2 linked regions of the Lonchura striata genome follow. The protein of the gene in region 2 purifies or fractionates together with the protein of the main gene of each other region. This does not show direct contact. Links are inferred from orthologs where the notes say so. Each region holds a gene or a part of one and is shown on either strand. Other genes may lie near its edges.

Evidence for each region. The genes of interacting proteins can lie anywhere in the genome.
Region 1: the proteins of WWP2 (region 2) and POLR2D purify together in Homo sapiens (affinity purification with mass spectrometry; 3 studies listed by BioGRID and IntAct, with this or other methods). This does not show direct contact. The link is inferred for Lonchura striata from reciprocal best matches to the Homo sapiens genes WWP2 and POLR2D.

The regions. Positions count from the first base shown.
Region 1 is NC_134612.1:4,369,767-4,377,581, forward strand, and holds the start of POLR2D (DNA-directed RNA polymerase II subunit RPB4), read left to right. Parts: upstream 1-4,518; 5' UTR 4,519-4,542; coding exon 4,543-4,615; intron 4,616-5,419; coding exon 5,420-5,600; intron 5,601-6,055; coding exon 6,056-6,151; intron 6,152-7,231; coding exon 7,232-7,310; 3' UTR 7,311-7,815. UniProt on the Homo sapiens protein: Core component of RNA polymerase II (Pol II), a DNA-dependent RNA polymerase which synthesizes mRNA precursors and many functional non-coding RNAs using the four ribonucleoside triphosphates as substrates.
Region 2 is NC_134615.1:23,108,549-23,115,798, forward strand, and holds the start of WWP2 (NEDD4-like E3 ubiquitin-protein ligase WWP2), read left to right. Parts: upstream 1-3,964; 5' UTR 3,965-4,077; intron 4,078-6,151; 5' UTR 6,152-6,165; coding exon 6,166-6,235; intron 6,236-6,705; coding exon 6,706-6,853; intron 6,854-7,090; coding exon 7,091-7,209; intron 7,210-7,250. Other genes in the region: RNA-binding protein NOB1, read right to left, coding at 1,487-1,756, 2,135-2,279, 2,361-2,458, 2,594-2,824, 2,913-3,044, 3,115-3,186, 3,316-3,449, 3,544-3,676 and 1 more. UniProt on the Homo sapiens protein: E3 ubiquitin-protein ligase which accepts ubiquitin from an E2 ubiquitin-conjugating enzyme in the form of a thioester and then directly transfers the ubiquitin to targeted substrates.

The DNA of each region.
Region 1 (7,815 bases), on a different chromosome or scaffold from region 2:
TATCTCCACAAGGATCTGCCATCACACTGGCACTCCACAGAAAATACATAATTACTGTTGGAAAGCTTAAAAAACTCCTATTAAAAACCAGATTTCTCCTGATGAATTAGAAGGAAAGCATATTACAAAATAGATTTGTGCTGGTAACAGGATATCCTTGTTGTTCCTACATTTGATTACAGGGAGATGTTTAGCTGAGCACTTTGTAAGGTCTGTGTAGATGCAATGAGTTATTCCAGGAGCTGTGTTTAGACTGTGGCAACACAGGAATTACCATGATAGGTCTGTCTTACAATCTGCTCCTCAATACCTCCAGCAAGGATCAAAGCTTTTTGGCCTGGAATATGGAATATTAGAGACTTGGTTCATGATAAATTACATTTGGCCAAGTGTTTTTTTCCAATAGGTTTATTTTAGGATGTCACCAGTAAAGCTGCCTGAAAGTTCCTTTAGTCAGTGACTATTTTAATCAACCTCACCTTACTTTTCTACGCATATTTCATCCATAAATGCCAAAACAGTCATTATTGGTGAGGAAGAAGCCAGTGCATTTTAAAAATAACAAAAGGTCAGGTACTCTGCTATGTTTGGTTTGTTGCAGCAGCTGAGCAATATTTACTATGGGGTTTATAAGTTTATTTTTTAAATTCCTAAAAAAAAAACCAAAAAAAAAAAAAAAAAAAAGGTGGGTGAAGCACTTTCCATTCAGGAACATTTTTATTTTGCTCTTGATACCTTAACCAAACACATCGGTGATAATAAAATTAATCTTTCATGATAGCCTCTTTAACTGCATCTGTAAAATCTTGTTTTTGTACACTTAAGTAGAAGTTTTGTTTTCCTTGGGGGAAAACAAAAAGGGGAATTGATAACTTAAACTTCTGTGAGCTGCCTACTGCTCTGAGAATTACAATGCTCAGAGTTGACAGGTTATTTGAGAAGCCATCAGGATTCCAAGTGATTTTAAATGCTTCTCTCCTCAATCTGGCATGGATTTCCTTGTTTTCTCGTAAGCCTAATTGAAATTGTTTAATTTGCCAGATGTTCCCCAAGATATTTCCATTCCATCTTCCTGAATGTCTTTCTGCTTGTATCACTTAGAAAATTATTTTCCAGTTTCTCTGCTATGCTCATTATCCAGATAGAAAATATTAAAAATCTATTATTTGATCTCTTCATATTCTTCTAATTTATTTTTAATTCATTCCTTTACCATTCACCTAGGCTCAGATACAAGTTTATGAGAATAGGAGTGTTTTCATAATAAATCCTTCAACAGTCTATTTTTGTCTTTCTTTAAGGGCACAGGATGACATAGTAAGGGCTAATAAGATGATTACTTTAAGAGTCTTCAATTAGGCACTTACATGTGAGCTCCCTAGGGAAAACATTGCTCCACAAGTTATTTTGCTGGCAGTGTTGGGAGAATTATCTTCATTTTCAGCCTGCCTATGACTTTTAAGGGTCTGTAGATTGCTTCTGGATAGTCTGAAAATTAACCTTCCTTATGAAGTATGTTATTTATGATATCAATACTCCCTCCTTACAGCCTGAAGTCTATTAATCACAGTAAGCTAGACAGAAATTCTGGCACAGTCACAATTTTCCTAAGGTTAGAGTTTGCTGTCCAGCTGGAGGATGTTCTGGTAGTGAAATGAAGTTGTTTGTAGCTGCCTGACCCACTGGTGTGAAGGAAGATGCATTTGATGTCTGGGTGCCCCTGGGCAGGCGGATGCTGCTGTGCAGACTGGTGAGGGGCACCAGTGCAGCTTTGAGCTCTTTGGTTATTTCTTAAAGAACAGAGCAGAAGAGTTTGCTCACGTGAAGGGCGAGTACTGTTTCCCTCGGTGTCCCCACACTCCTGCTCTTGGGCCCTGCTTTGTGCCTTGTAAGACTTTGGGTTCATGATCACACAATTGATTAGGTTGGAAAAGACCTCTAAGGTCATTGAGTCCAACCTTTGAGTGAAAACCACCATGTCAACTAGACCATCCACCGAGCGCCACCTCCAATCTTTCCTCAAACACCTCCAGGGACGGTGACCCCACCACCTCCCTAGGCAGCCCACTTCAATGTCTAATCATCCTTTCAGTGGAGAAATCCATGATATTCAACACAAGCCTCCCCTGGCCCACCTTAATACTGTGTCCTGTCGTCGCCTGTGGGAAGAGGCTGACCCCACCTGGGTACACCCTCCTGTTAGGGACTTGCAGTCTCGGTCTGTCGCAGCTGTTTGCCCTCTGTTCATACATACCACGTTCAGCATCCCGCTGCTCTCCCTCTCAAAAAGCAGCTAATTACTGAGCGAGCTTAAACACACCTCTGAGAGCTGTTTAGTTGGCACTCAGCCTCCCTGCTCCCGCTGCTTCTCCTCCGTGCCCACAGCGGCAGCCGAGCTCCTTTATCCTCAGCAGCGCCCAGGACAGAACCGGCCGCCGCCCTTCAGAGAGGGACAAGCAGCCGCGCCCTCAGCCCGCACGGAGGAGAGAGCCGCTCCCGCCCTCCACCGGGACTGGGACCTCAGCTCTCACCCGGGTAGAGCCGCTCCCACCCTCCACCGGGACTGGGACCTCGGCTTTCACCCGGGTAGAGCCGTGCCCGCCCTCCACCGGGACTGGGACCTCAGCTCTCACCCGGGTAGAGCCGCTCCCGCCCTCCACCGGGACTGGGACCTCACCCGGGTACAGCCCTCAGCCCTTATCCGGGCAGTGCCCTCAGCTTTCACCCGGGTAGAGCCGCTCCCGCCCTCCACCGGGACTGGGACCTCAGCTTTCACCCGGGTAGAGCCGTGCCCACCCTCCACCGGGACAGGGACCTCGGCTTTCACCCGGGTAGAGCCGTGCCCGCCCCTCACCGGGACTGGGACCTCAGCTTTCACCCGGGTAGAGCCGCTCCCACCCTCCACCGGGACAGTGCCCTCACCCGGGTACAGCCCTCAGCCCTTATCCGGGCAGTGCCCTCAGCTCTCACCCGGGTAGAGCCGCTCCCGCCCTCCACCGGGACTGGGACCTCAGCTTTCACCCGGGTAGAGCCGTGCCCGCCCTCCACCGGGACAGTGCCCTCACCCGGGTACAGCCCTCAGCCCTTATCCGGGCAGTGCCCTCAGCTTTCACCCGGGTAGAGCCGCTCCCGCCCTCCACCGGGACTGGGACCTCAGCTCTCACCCGGGCAGAGCCGTTCCTGCCCCTCACCGGGACAGAGACCTCGGCTTTCACCCGGGTAGAGCCGTGCCCGCCCCTCACCCGGGACAGGGACCTCAGCTCTCACCCGGGTAGAGCCGTGCCCGCCCCTCACCCGGGCACAGCCCTCAGCCCTTATCCAGGCAGTGCCCTCAGCTCTCACCCGGGCAGAGCCGTTGCCGGCCCCTCACCGGGGCAGATCTCTCAGCCCTCACCCGGGCAGTGCCGTTCCCGCCCCTCACCCGGGCAGTGCCCTCACCCGCGCACAGCCCTCAGCCCTTATCCGGGCAGAGCCCTCATCCCCCAGCCGGGCAGTGCCGTTCCCGCCCCTCACCCGGGCAGTGCCCTCACCCGGGTACAGCCCTCAGCCCTTATCCGGGCAGTGCCCTCATCCCCCAGCCGGGCAGTGCCGTTCCCGCCCCTCACCCGGGCAGTGCCCTCACCCGGGTACAGCCCTCAGCCCTTATCCGGGCAGTGCCCTCAGCCCTCACCCGGGCAGAGCCGTGCCCGCCCCTCACCCGGGCAGTGCCCTCACCCGGGCAGAGCCCTCAGCCCCCAGCCGGGCAGAGCCGTGCCCGCCCCTCACCCGGGCAGTGCCCTCATCCCCCAGCCGGGCAGAGCCGTGCCCGCCCCTCACCCGGGCAGTGCCCTCATCCCCCAGCCGGGCAGAGCCGTGCCCGCCCCTCACCCGGGCAGTGCCCTCACCCGGGCAGAGCCCTCAGCCCCCAGCCGGGCAGAGCCGTGCCCGCCCCTCACCCGGGCAGTGCCCTCACCCGGGCAGAGCCCTCAGCCCCCAGCCGGGCAGAGCCGTGCCCGCCCCTCACCCGGGCAGTGCCCTCACCCGGGCAGTGCCCTCAGCCCCCAGCCGGGCAGTGCCCTCAGCCCCCAGCCGGGCAGAGCCGTGCCCGCCCCTCACCCGGGCAGTGCCCTCACCCGCGCACAGCCCTCAGCCCTTATCCGGGCAGTGCCCTCAGCCCCCAGCCGGGCAGAGCCGTGCCCGCCCCTCACCCGGGCAGTGCCCTCAGCCCCCAGCCGGGCAGAGCCGTGCCCGCCCCTCACCCGGGCAGTGCCCTCAGCCCCCAGCCGGGCAGAGCCGTGCCCGCCCCTCACCCGGGCAGTGCCCTCAGCCCTCACCCGGGCAGTGCCCTCATCCCCCAGCCGGGCAGAGCCGTGCCCGCCCCTCACCCGGGCAGTGCCCTCACCCGCGCACAGCCCTCAGCCCTTATCCGGGCAGAGCCGTGCCCGCCCCTCACCCGGGCAGTGCCCTCAGCCCCCAGCCGGGCAGAGCCGTGCCCGCCCCCGCCCAGAGAGCCGCCCGCCTGCCGTGAGGCGGGGCCGCCCTTTCCGCCGTGGCTTTCCGGTGATGGCGGCGGGCGGCAGCGACCCGCGGACGGCGGACGTGGAGGAGGACGCCTCGCAGCTCGTCTTCCCCAAAGGTGCGAGCGGGGCCGGCGAGGAGCGCGGGGTCGGCTGGTCGGAGGCCGGCAATGGCCGCCTGTGAGGGTGCGCGCCTCGCCGAGCGGCTCCGTGGACCGGAGCGCTGCTCAAAGCCCCTCCAGCAGCTACTAAGCCCCCAGTGTTAAAAATCAGGATAACAAATGATTTATATATGTTTAAGGATCTCATGGTTTCTAGGATGTGGCGGTTCTTAGGTGGGCTTCTAGGCGTGTATAGGGTATTTGAAAAATAATTTTTAAAATCCTGCCAGGTTGTAGAGAAAATGTTGGTTTTTGATATAAGGTTTTTCAGTGATGTTTGTTGACACAGGAGTTCTTCCCTGTGAGGGAGGTGAGGCCCTGGCACAGGGTGCCCGGAGAAGCTGTGGCTGCCCGATTCCTGGAAATGTCCCAGGCCAGGCTGGACAGGGCTTGGAGCAACCTGGGACAGTGGAAGATGTCCCTGCTCAGGGCAAGGGTGGAACTGTATGGGCTTTTTATGGTGCCTTCCAACATAAGCTGTTCTGGAAATCTGTGAATACAAAATTAGCTGCAGTTAGGAAACCAGCTGTCCAGACCCAGAGTGTATTTTTTTTTTTCCAGAAAATTAATGCAGTATAATATCTAGAAGTGTATTTACACCTCAGAGCCACCCTGCCCAGTGAAAGAGCTCACACAAGTCCATGAAAGACATTTTCACTTCTTTATTACCCAGATCTAAATTACACACCAAACTTGTGCAATTCCCCTATTTAAACACATTCCCCTTTTTTCCATGCTGTCATTCCCTCATTCGGGCTGCAGAATTTGAAACTGCGGAAACTCTGCTGAACTCCGAGGTGCACATGCTGCTCGAGCACCGCAAGCAGCAGAACGAGAGCGCGGAGGATGAGCAGGAGCTGTCAGAAGTCTTCATGAAAACCTTGAACTACACAGCGCGCTTCAGCCGCTTCAAAAACCGCGAAACCATCGCCAGCGTGCGCAGGTGAGCGGGAAAGTCGGGGTGGAACAAACACCGTGTCGGAAAATTGGATCTCTCATACTGGTCCTGCTTTACAAAAGTACATCTTAGTGGTGTTGGTGATTTGTTCTTTAATTCTGAGTCTTTTGGCTTCCTAATGAGGCAAGAAGTTCTTGATGGAAGGTTATGCTTTGTCCAGGTCAAGCCTTCTGGACTGCTTTGTTTTCAGTATTTCACTGACAGCTGATTGCATTAAATTGGGAGGATTTTCTAGACTTTGCAGAATAATTCAGGGGAAGTGGTGTTAGCAGATAGGATTTTGTTTTTTACTCTATGCATTTATTTAATGAGTCTTTTTTCTTTAAAAAAAATTACTTCAGTGCCAAAACCAGTGTGCAAAAAGATAAGCATTTGTCTCAGTTTAAGCCCTTTTATGTTTCTGTCTTGTGATTCCATCAAATTGTTGTCTTTCCTTACAGCTTACTGCTACAGAAGAAGCTCCATAAGTTTGAACTGGCATGTTTGGCTAACTTGTGTCCTGAGACAGCTGAGGAAGCAAAAGCTCTGATTCCTAGGTAAGCACCTATATATTGTACAAAGGCTGCTGTATCCTTCCCTGTGATCTAAAGCCAGCCATGCCCTGGTATCCTCTCTTCAATCCAGCTGCCTTGCTGGAAAAACATTTGGTCTTAGTCTTTCTTCCCCTACCCACTGATCTGACAGCAACACACTTTGTACATGTCCCTAATGCACTTCTGAGAGCTTTTACTGGATCAAGTGCAAACCTCTTAAATCGGGGTTCTTAGCTGGCTGTGTTTGTGTTCCTTGGAGTGTTTTCTGTTGGAGCAGAGGAACTGTTTTGTGGATAATGTTGTGGGAGCAGCAACCAATCAAGACATCTTCATGTCTTGTTTGGTTACCTCATGGCCTGAGATAGAGGAGGGAATGAAACATTCATCTGAATTACAGTTTCTTCCTTATTCATCATTATATAAAAGGGAAGGCTTTGGGATGATCTAACTATGGGCTCCCAGTACCTGGAAAGAGACTTTTTACGAGAGTAGTGACAGGACGAGGGAATGGCCTCAGCTGAGGGTAGATTTAGATTAGATACTGGGGAGAAATTCATCCCTGTGAGGGTGGTGAGGCCCTGGCACAGGGTGCCCAGAGAAGCTGTGGCTGCCCCATCCCTGGAAGTGTCCAAAGCCAGGCTGGATGTGGCTCTGAACAACTTGGTCTAGTGCAATGTGTCCCTCCCTATCCATGGCAGGGGGTTGGAATGAGTTCATCTTCAACATCCCTTCCAACCCAAACCATTCCATGATTTTATGTTAGGATTTCATAGCAAGAATGGACTGGCTTATGAGCATGCAGCTACATGGACTTCATTTAGAGTTCTGCTTACACCTGCCTTGCCTTTTTTGAAAACAAGTTGTGAAATTTCTGGGAAGAAGGAGTTTTGTCATGTAAAGAGGAAGCAGTGCATAGGGATTAGAGCACTCTTTGTAAAGTGATGTCAAAGGTGGTTCCTAGTGGTCACAGGTAGGTGACACAGTGTGTTGAGACTGACAGGAGAGAGTTATGACTGAAATAAATCAAGGGAGAGAGATGATTTCTGAAACCTTTAATGTCTCTTTATTGCTCTTACCTTGCAGCCTGGAGGGCCGGTTTGAAGATGAAGAATTACAACAGATTCTTGACGACATTCAGACTAAACGCAGCTTCCAGTATTAAGGTTAACCCTCAGCCCCTTTATCTGAGCAGAAAAACCTGAAGAGCTGGGCTGTTTCTCAGCCCTCTGGATCAGTCCAGCTCCCAGCTGAGTGAGAGCAGTTGTGGATGCAGGGTGCTCCAGTGCTGTGTTGCCACAGGTGCATTCAGACTGGAGATCAGCATTGTCCTTTTGGTTTGTTCCATGTGTATGTTGACAAGGACCCCCTGTATTGTGAGAGCAAAGAACCTGAAAGGCCTTTTCCCAGTGGCTCAAGTATTTATGTTTCTTCCCTAATCCCTCTCCCCAGGTTGTACATTTTCAACACTTTTGGTTTTTACCAGAAATGTAGATGTGATTTTGTGTTTTTTAGGAGCTTCTAAAGGATGCAGAATCTTGGTCTTGGTTCTCAGAAGGTTCAGTGATGAGCAGCATCAGTATCTGTGGTGTTTTTTGTTTGTTTTATTGTTTGATTGGGACAGTGCATTTTTCCAGCTTCAATATTTTTCTATTATTGTTTAGTCTAAA
Region 2 (7,250 bases):
CTCTTTGGGTGTTGCAGAACTGGGATCCCCATCCAGTATCCTTAGCAGCCTGCAGCATTCCTGAGGCTTCTTTATTCTGGATAAAAGGAGGCAATTTGAATTATTTCCATCTGAGCTGATGCTGAGTTAAGCTCCAACCCCTGCAGAGCAGAGCTCCAACCTCTGTCCCTGCACCTCAGGTGGGCTCTCCCTGCCTGCCAGAAGTTCTGGGTGCACCCTCGACCGCTGAGCTGCCTCTTCTGTGTCCTGCAATGTGAAAGTAGCACCAGATACTCCTTCGTGCAGTTCTGTGTATATGGCTTTCGTAGGTGGGTTTTCCAAGCACTGATTCCCGGTGTTTTCAGTTTGTCTATGAGGGGATATTTTATTTGCATCTATGTTTTTAGCTCTCCTGTGATAACTTGTTGAATATTAAAAAAAAAAATATTTTGCTTCTATTGGGACATTTGTATACTCGCAACTATATTTCTGTAAACAGCTGCAGTCGAGAATAAACGATGAAAGTTTTCATTTTACACTGTAAAGTCTTGTGATGGTTTTTCCAAGGGCATCTCCAGAGCCGTGCCTGGGGTGCTGCAGCTGCTGCAGGAGAACGTCCTGGGGAACCACACTGACTCGGTGGTGTGGGACCCCAGTAACCCCTGGGGGCTGCCCAACCCAGCCCCCAGCTTGTGACCAAGGGAACAGTTCCCAAAGGAACAGCTTCCAGAGCCTGGGATGTCATTTTGGGGACTGGGGGAGAGGCAGTCTGCCCAGAGAGGTGAGGCCAGGAGTCCAAAGCCAAGATGCTGCAGTGACCCCATCCTCAGCAGGATGTGAGCGTGCCTTACCCAGTGCCCTTTATCTGCAGCTTTGGCAGCCTGGAAGTGCCCTGGGGCTGGGGAGGCCCAGCTGTGCTCCCCTTGGCTGTTCCCAACCTGTGACCTCCCCAGCACCAGGGGCCACAGCTGCTGTCAGGCATTTCCTTATTTTGAACAATTTCAGCAGGGCTAAGGAGAAACTGCAGCAAGAGCCGGGACCAACAGTCAGCTGTGAAAGATTTCAGCAGATCCCAGAGTTTCCCCCTTCAGCCATGGGCATCGCCCAGTGCAAGGGTGGGACACAAGCCCCTGCCCTGGGGTTTTGTCCTTCTGTAGCTCATTATCCCGTGGGACAAACGATCCAAGAACTCCTCCCTCCCTCCGTCCCAGCCTCCTTTTTCCTCGAGGCTCAGAGAAAGGCACAGGCAGCCGCAGAAATGGGACTGAGCCACGGTGCTTTGGGGTTTGGTGTTTATTGGGTGACACAGCCCCTGCCCGGGGGTGCCCAGGGAAGCCCCCGCGCCCTCCCCGTGCTGGGGCCTCCCCAAACCCGTCACCCCCGTCACGGCGGCTCTGGGCACCAGCGCAGCGGGGACAGGACGGCCTGAGCCGTGCCAGGTGCTGGGAGCGGCCCTGGCAGAGCCAGCACCAGCCCTGGGCAGGTGTGCCCGGGGCCCGTCCCGCCCTCACCTCCTCCTCACGAACTTCTTGGTGACGGCGTTGGGGTTGAGGCGGCGGCGGCCGGCGCCCAGGGCGGCGTCGCGCAGCTGCAGGTGCGCGGCCCGGCTGTGCACGTCGTTCTCGGCGAAGGGGGAGGCCCCGGCCAGGTAGTCGGGGTCGAAGACGTCGGTTTTCTGCCGGGCCTTGCGGGACAGGCGCTGCTGCGGGAAGCGCTGGTCCTCCACCAGGTGCGGGTTGTTGGCGTGCTTGCCGCCCTGCGGCGCCGGCAGCGGGTACTGCGGGAGAGCGGGGTCAGCCCCGGCTCCGGGGACCCCAGGTGACCCCAGCCCCAGAGCCCTGGGGTCCAAGGGCAACATCTGGAGGATGTTAGCAGTTTGCTTTGATTCCTTCCAGCCTGCCAGCCACAGGCCGGGCTCCCATCCCTGGGATCCCAGTGGAAGAATTCCTTCACAGAAAGAGTTGTTCAAGGTGGGAAGGGGTGCCCAGGGAGGAGGTGGGGTCCCCATCCTGGGAGGCGTGCAAGGAAATGACTGGACCTGGCACTGAGTGCTCAGGGCTGGCTGACAAGGGGAGGATTAGTCCCAAGTTGGATTTGATGCTCTTGCTGGTCCTTTCCAACCTCAGCGAGTCTGGGGTTCTGTCCAGGTACTCACCCTGAGCCCCCGGGGGTTCAGCACCTTGGGGTTGCGGGAGAAGTGCATGTGGAGACTCCCGTCGTCGCTGACGCTCACTGCCACCTTCTTGAGCGTCTTGTTACCGCAGTGGGGGCAGAACACCTTGGTCATGTCCGAGGTGGTCCTGCGAGGGGGGCACGGGGGGTTCAGAGCTCCTGGGGCCGTGAACACAGGCTCAGCCCGGGCTCAGCCCCAGCCCTGGCACCTGAAGCAGCCGTGGCAGCGCAGGATGTAGCTGCGGGCCCGGCGGATCAGCATCCCGTTCACGGCCAGCACGTGGAGACCCATCTGCAGCAGCACGTTCTGCGAGAGCGGGGACACAGCTGGGACCTGCAGCTGGGGCACTCGGAGCCCTGCAGGCTCTGCAAGGCCTCTGGGACTGAGACCCTGCTGCGTGACACACGGAGCTGTCCCAGAGCCCTGCAGCTCGGCACCCACCTGCATGGCAAAGTCCGTGGTGACACAGCCCACCTGGACACCGACGGGAGCAGTGTCACAGTGCCCCGCGTCCAGCTGGGCCTGCTTCAGGTTGCTGGGAGTTATCCAGCCTTCGTCATCGCTCTCCTCATCCTCCTCCTCCTCCTCCTCCTCCTCCTCCTCTTCGCCGGCGCTGGTCCCGTCTGCAGGGCCCCGGCGCTCCTCGGGGGGCTCGGGGCTGCCGGTGATGGCCTGGGCCGCGGGGGGAGATGGTCAGGGCGGCCCGGAGGGTCGGAACGACCCGGCAGAGAGGCAGAGCGAGACTGCAGAAGGTTCTCACCAGCAGCTCCTGCAGCTCCTCCTCGATGCTGGGCAGGGGCGGCCGCCAGTACAGGAAGGAGCCGAACTCGTCGCTCTCGGCCGGGGCCGGGGCCGGGCCGGGCTGGCGGGGACCCTTCCCCGCGGGTTTGTGCTGGGGGCACACACGGGCGAGCTCAGCCGCGGCTCCGCGGGGCCGGGCTCGCCCTCCCGCCGGGCCTTACCTTGGCGGGCAGGTGGAAACCGGCGAGGTGCAGGGGAGCCTCGGGGTGCCGCAGGGTGGAGCTGAGCCGCACCTGGGGGCGGCACGGGCCGTCGGTGGGGCTCTGGAACCGGGGCCCGGGCCCCGCTGGAACCGGGGCTCCGTGTCCCGCTGGAACTGGGGCCCGGGCCCCGCTGGAACCGGGACCCCGCGCCCATCCTACCTTATCCTGCGGCTCCCAGCGGATGCTGCCGGGGCCGTGGATCTCGGCCTGCAGCTGGCAGGTGAGGGCGAGCACCTGCAGGTCGGCGGCCGAGAGGCTCGGGTAGTCCCCGGTCTTCTTGGAGAACTCGGTCACTGCGGGCGGAGCAGCGGCGCCGTCAGGCCGGGCCGGGCCGGGCGGGGAAGGGGCCGGGCGGGGAAGGGGCCGGGCGGGCCCTGCCGCACTCACCGAGCCGCAGCAGGTCGGGGCGCGGGCGGCGCACCCGCAGCTCGCAGGGCAGCGCGGCCAGGCGGCGGCGCGCCCGCCGGTCGCGGATCTCGGCCAGCACCTCGGGCACGGTGTACAGCGCGTCCGCCACGTCCTGCGGGCAGCGCCGTCACACCGGCCCGCAGCCCCTCACCCTCCCCACCCCCGTCCCCGCGGTGTCCCCGCGGTGTCCCCGCGGTGTCCCCGCTGTCCCCCTGTCCCCGGTACCTGCAGCGGGGCCGCGCTCAGGAACGCGCCCGTGTCGGCCACGACGTGCGGAACACGCGCCATGTCCGCGCGCCCCGTGGCCCGGCCCGGCCGCCGTCGCGGCGCCGCGGGGGGCACGCCGGGAGTTGTGGTCCGGGCACGGGGCACGCCGGGAGTTGTAGTTCGGCCGGGCACGCCGGGAGCGGCGCCGCGCCGCGGGAGCGCTTCCGGCCGGCGCGGTCACGTGACGGGCCGGGGTCACATGACGGCGGGAGCCGGAGCCGGGCAGCGGGAGAGGAGCGGCTGCCGGTAACGGGACCGGGACGGGAACGGGACGGGGACGGGGACGGGGACGGGGACGGGGACGGGAACGGGAACGGGACCGGGAACGGAACGGGACGGGAACGGGAACGGGACCGGGACCGGAACCGGGACCGGGGACGGGAACGGAAAAGGGAACGGGAACGGGACGGAATCGGAATGGGAACGGGATGGGACCGGGACGGGAACGGGAACGGAAAAGGGAACGGGAACGGGACGGAATCGGAATGGGGACGGGAACCGGAACGGGGACGGGACGGGCTCGGCTCGGTTTCGCTTCCCGGCCCAGCCTGGGGCGCTCCCGTCCATCGGGCGGACACGGCCCGGTGGGGCGCTCCGGCCGCCGGGAGCTGCTCAGCTGTGCCGGTCCCGGCCCGGTACCGGCGGGGCCGCGGGCAGCCCCTTCGCCGCCGCCTCCCGTGCGCGGTGCCTGCCGCGCCCGGCCCGGCTCTGTGCGGGGCCGGTCCCGGTCCCGGTTCGGTGTCGGCCGCCCGGGCGCGGCCCCGCGGCTGTCCCGAGGCCGGGCCGGGCTGGCGGAACGGGGAGCCCGGGAGGAAGGGCGGCCCCGGCCCGGCCGAGGGGATCCCGCCGGGCGGAGGGGGCGGGAGCGCCCCGGGGCCGGCCCGGTCACGGCCCCGCCGCGCTGGGGGTGCCCGGGGAGCGGCAGCGGGCACCGGGCGATGTCCGGGAGCCGGAGGTGCTGGCGAGAGCGGCGCTGTCACAGCGAGGGACGGAGAAGTGCGGAGTCGGGGGAAGGGGAAGAGCCGGGAGGGCAAGGAGGGAGGCAGGGAGCCCCGGCGGGGCAGGGCTGGGTACGGCCCCGGTGGAATCCCCGCAGTGGGGAGCTGGGGACGGGAGCAGCAGCAGGATCCGATATCCTCGGGAGCCCGGGGAGAGCCGTGGGCCGGGATGACGGGGATGTGTCCGGGATGGCTGGGATGGGTCCGGGATAGCGGGGATGGGTCTGGGATGGCTGGGATGGGTCTGGGATGGCTGGGATGGGTCCGGGATGGCTGGGATGGGTCCGGGATAGCGGGGATGGGTCTGGGATCCCTGGGGTGGGTCTGGGATCCCTGGGACGAGTGACCCAGGAGGCTGGGCAGTGTCCGGGAACGCTGGCTGCTGCTGGATGGAGCCAGGACAGTGCTCGGGCAGTGCCCAGCGGGCACCTGCAGGCAGAGCTGGGGGCTGTACAGGGCACAGCCAGGCCCTGGGCTGCCAGGCAGGTTTGCTGTGACCCTGGGAGAGGGGATTTCACAGGGATCTGCCCTGGGATGGAGCTTGGGACGGTTCAAGGAGGATGAAGAGAGAGGGCAGGGAAGAGGCTCCTGCACAGGGAGAGGGGCTGGAGCTGCTTCCCCGTTTTCGTGCTTCCCTGTTGGGGAGGGGAGGCTGGCACTGCCTGGCCGGGCGGTTCTGGGCTGGGCTGGGAGCTTGGCTCCCGTGCTCTGCAGCTCCTGGGAGCGGCAGGAGGAGCTGGCTGCTCATCCCTGCGCTCTGCTCGCTGCTTCGGGTACCCGCCCTGGCCACGCGTCCCACGATGGTGCTGGAGGCCTTTCCCAGCCTCAGTGATCCTGTGGGATTAATGAAGCCAGGGCTGCCCTTGAGGTCTGTGGTCCTCATGCTGTGACTAGACCTCTGTCTGTCCAGCTGGTCCTGGCACAGCCATGTCCCCGTGGCACTGCCGTGTCCCCGTGGCACTGCCGTGTCTGCCCGGCACTGCCGTGTCCCTGCCATCATGTGTGCTGAGTCTGTGTCCCCCAGGGCAAGGCTTTGGTGGCTGCTCTGTCCCGCAGCAGCCCTGGGCTGTGGCTCAGGGGTTCAGGTGCCCAGAGAGGTGTTTGGAGTGGCAGTGCCCAGCTCAGCCCGTGGCACTGCCATGCAGGGGCTGCTCTCCCAGGGACACAGCGCTGCCTTTGGCATGGGGGGTTCATCAGGAGAGGAGCCTGTGTGCCCCGGGTCTTGCCCAGCCCTTTTCCGGGCACTGCAGCAGCCTCGGGCCGTGCCTGGGTGCCGTGGCAGCGGGGCTGAGCGGGGCTGAGTGTCTCCTTCTCCTTTCCAGCCGGGGGTGATGCCATGGCCGCTGCCAGCTCCAGCAGGGCCAGGGCCGGGCCGCCCTGCGAGAAGTCCCCGCTGTCTGTGAAAGGTGGGTCCTGCTGCCCCTCCGGGATTGCCCCTGCCGGGAACGTGTCCCGCTCTGCCCGCGGGGAGCAGGGCCCGGGGGTGGTGGCCGCGGGCCCGGGGCCGTGCCGGTGCTGCCGTGGCCGCGAGATGGCTCCCGGCGCCCGGAGCCGCGCCCCGGGGAGCCGCAGCCCGCCCTGCCCCTCCGCCACACCGCCGCCCTGGCGCTGCCCCGGCCCGGCTTGCCCCTGCCCTGGGGCAGGGAGGTGGCCGTGGGGACAGCGACAGTCCCCTCGGAGGGGTGAGGCTGGGACGTGCTCAGGGCTTGATGCCAGCCATCGCTGCCACCAGGAGCATTGCTCCCTGCTGCCCCTCTCCAAGTGCTCTGCTGCGAGTGTGGCACCCGAGCTGGCAGGGGCGGGCTGGGGGACAGGGCAGGGACGGGGCAGGGGTCAGCGTGTCCCGCAGGCCTGACCTGTGCTCGTCCCTGCCCAGTGGTGTCCGTGAAGCCCAAGGCCCAGAGCCGCTCAGCACGGATGAACTGCTATGTGGAGGTGGCTGGCGACGGGCTGCCCAGTGAGACCAAGAAGACGGGGAAGCAGATGGGGGTCTCTGAGCTGCTGTGGAACGAGATCCTCACCCTGTGAGTCTGTGTGACCCCTGGTCAGGGGCCGGCCCCGTGTGCCCTGCCGTGCCACTGGCTGCCACTCGGGTGGCAGAGCTTTGCCCCGTGTACGGGGACACTGCCAGAGACAGCCAGGCTGGGTGGGCGGTGGGAGGAGGGTGTCCCAGTGCCCTGTGTCCCCGCACACCTTCCTCTGCTCCCCGAGCACGGAGCAGGCAGGAGGCCATGGTGACAGCCCCTCTCTGCTCTCTGCAGCAATGTCACAGCTCAGAGCCACTTGGAGCTGAAGGTGTGGATCTGCCACACGCTGAGGAACGAGCTGCTGGGCGCCGCCTCTGTCAGCCTGGGCAGCCTGCTCAAGGGCGGCAGCAAACGTACGTACGGGGCTGGGGCTGCCCGGGGCAGGGCATGGCAC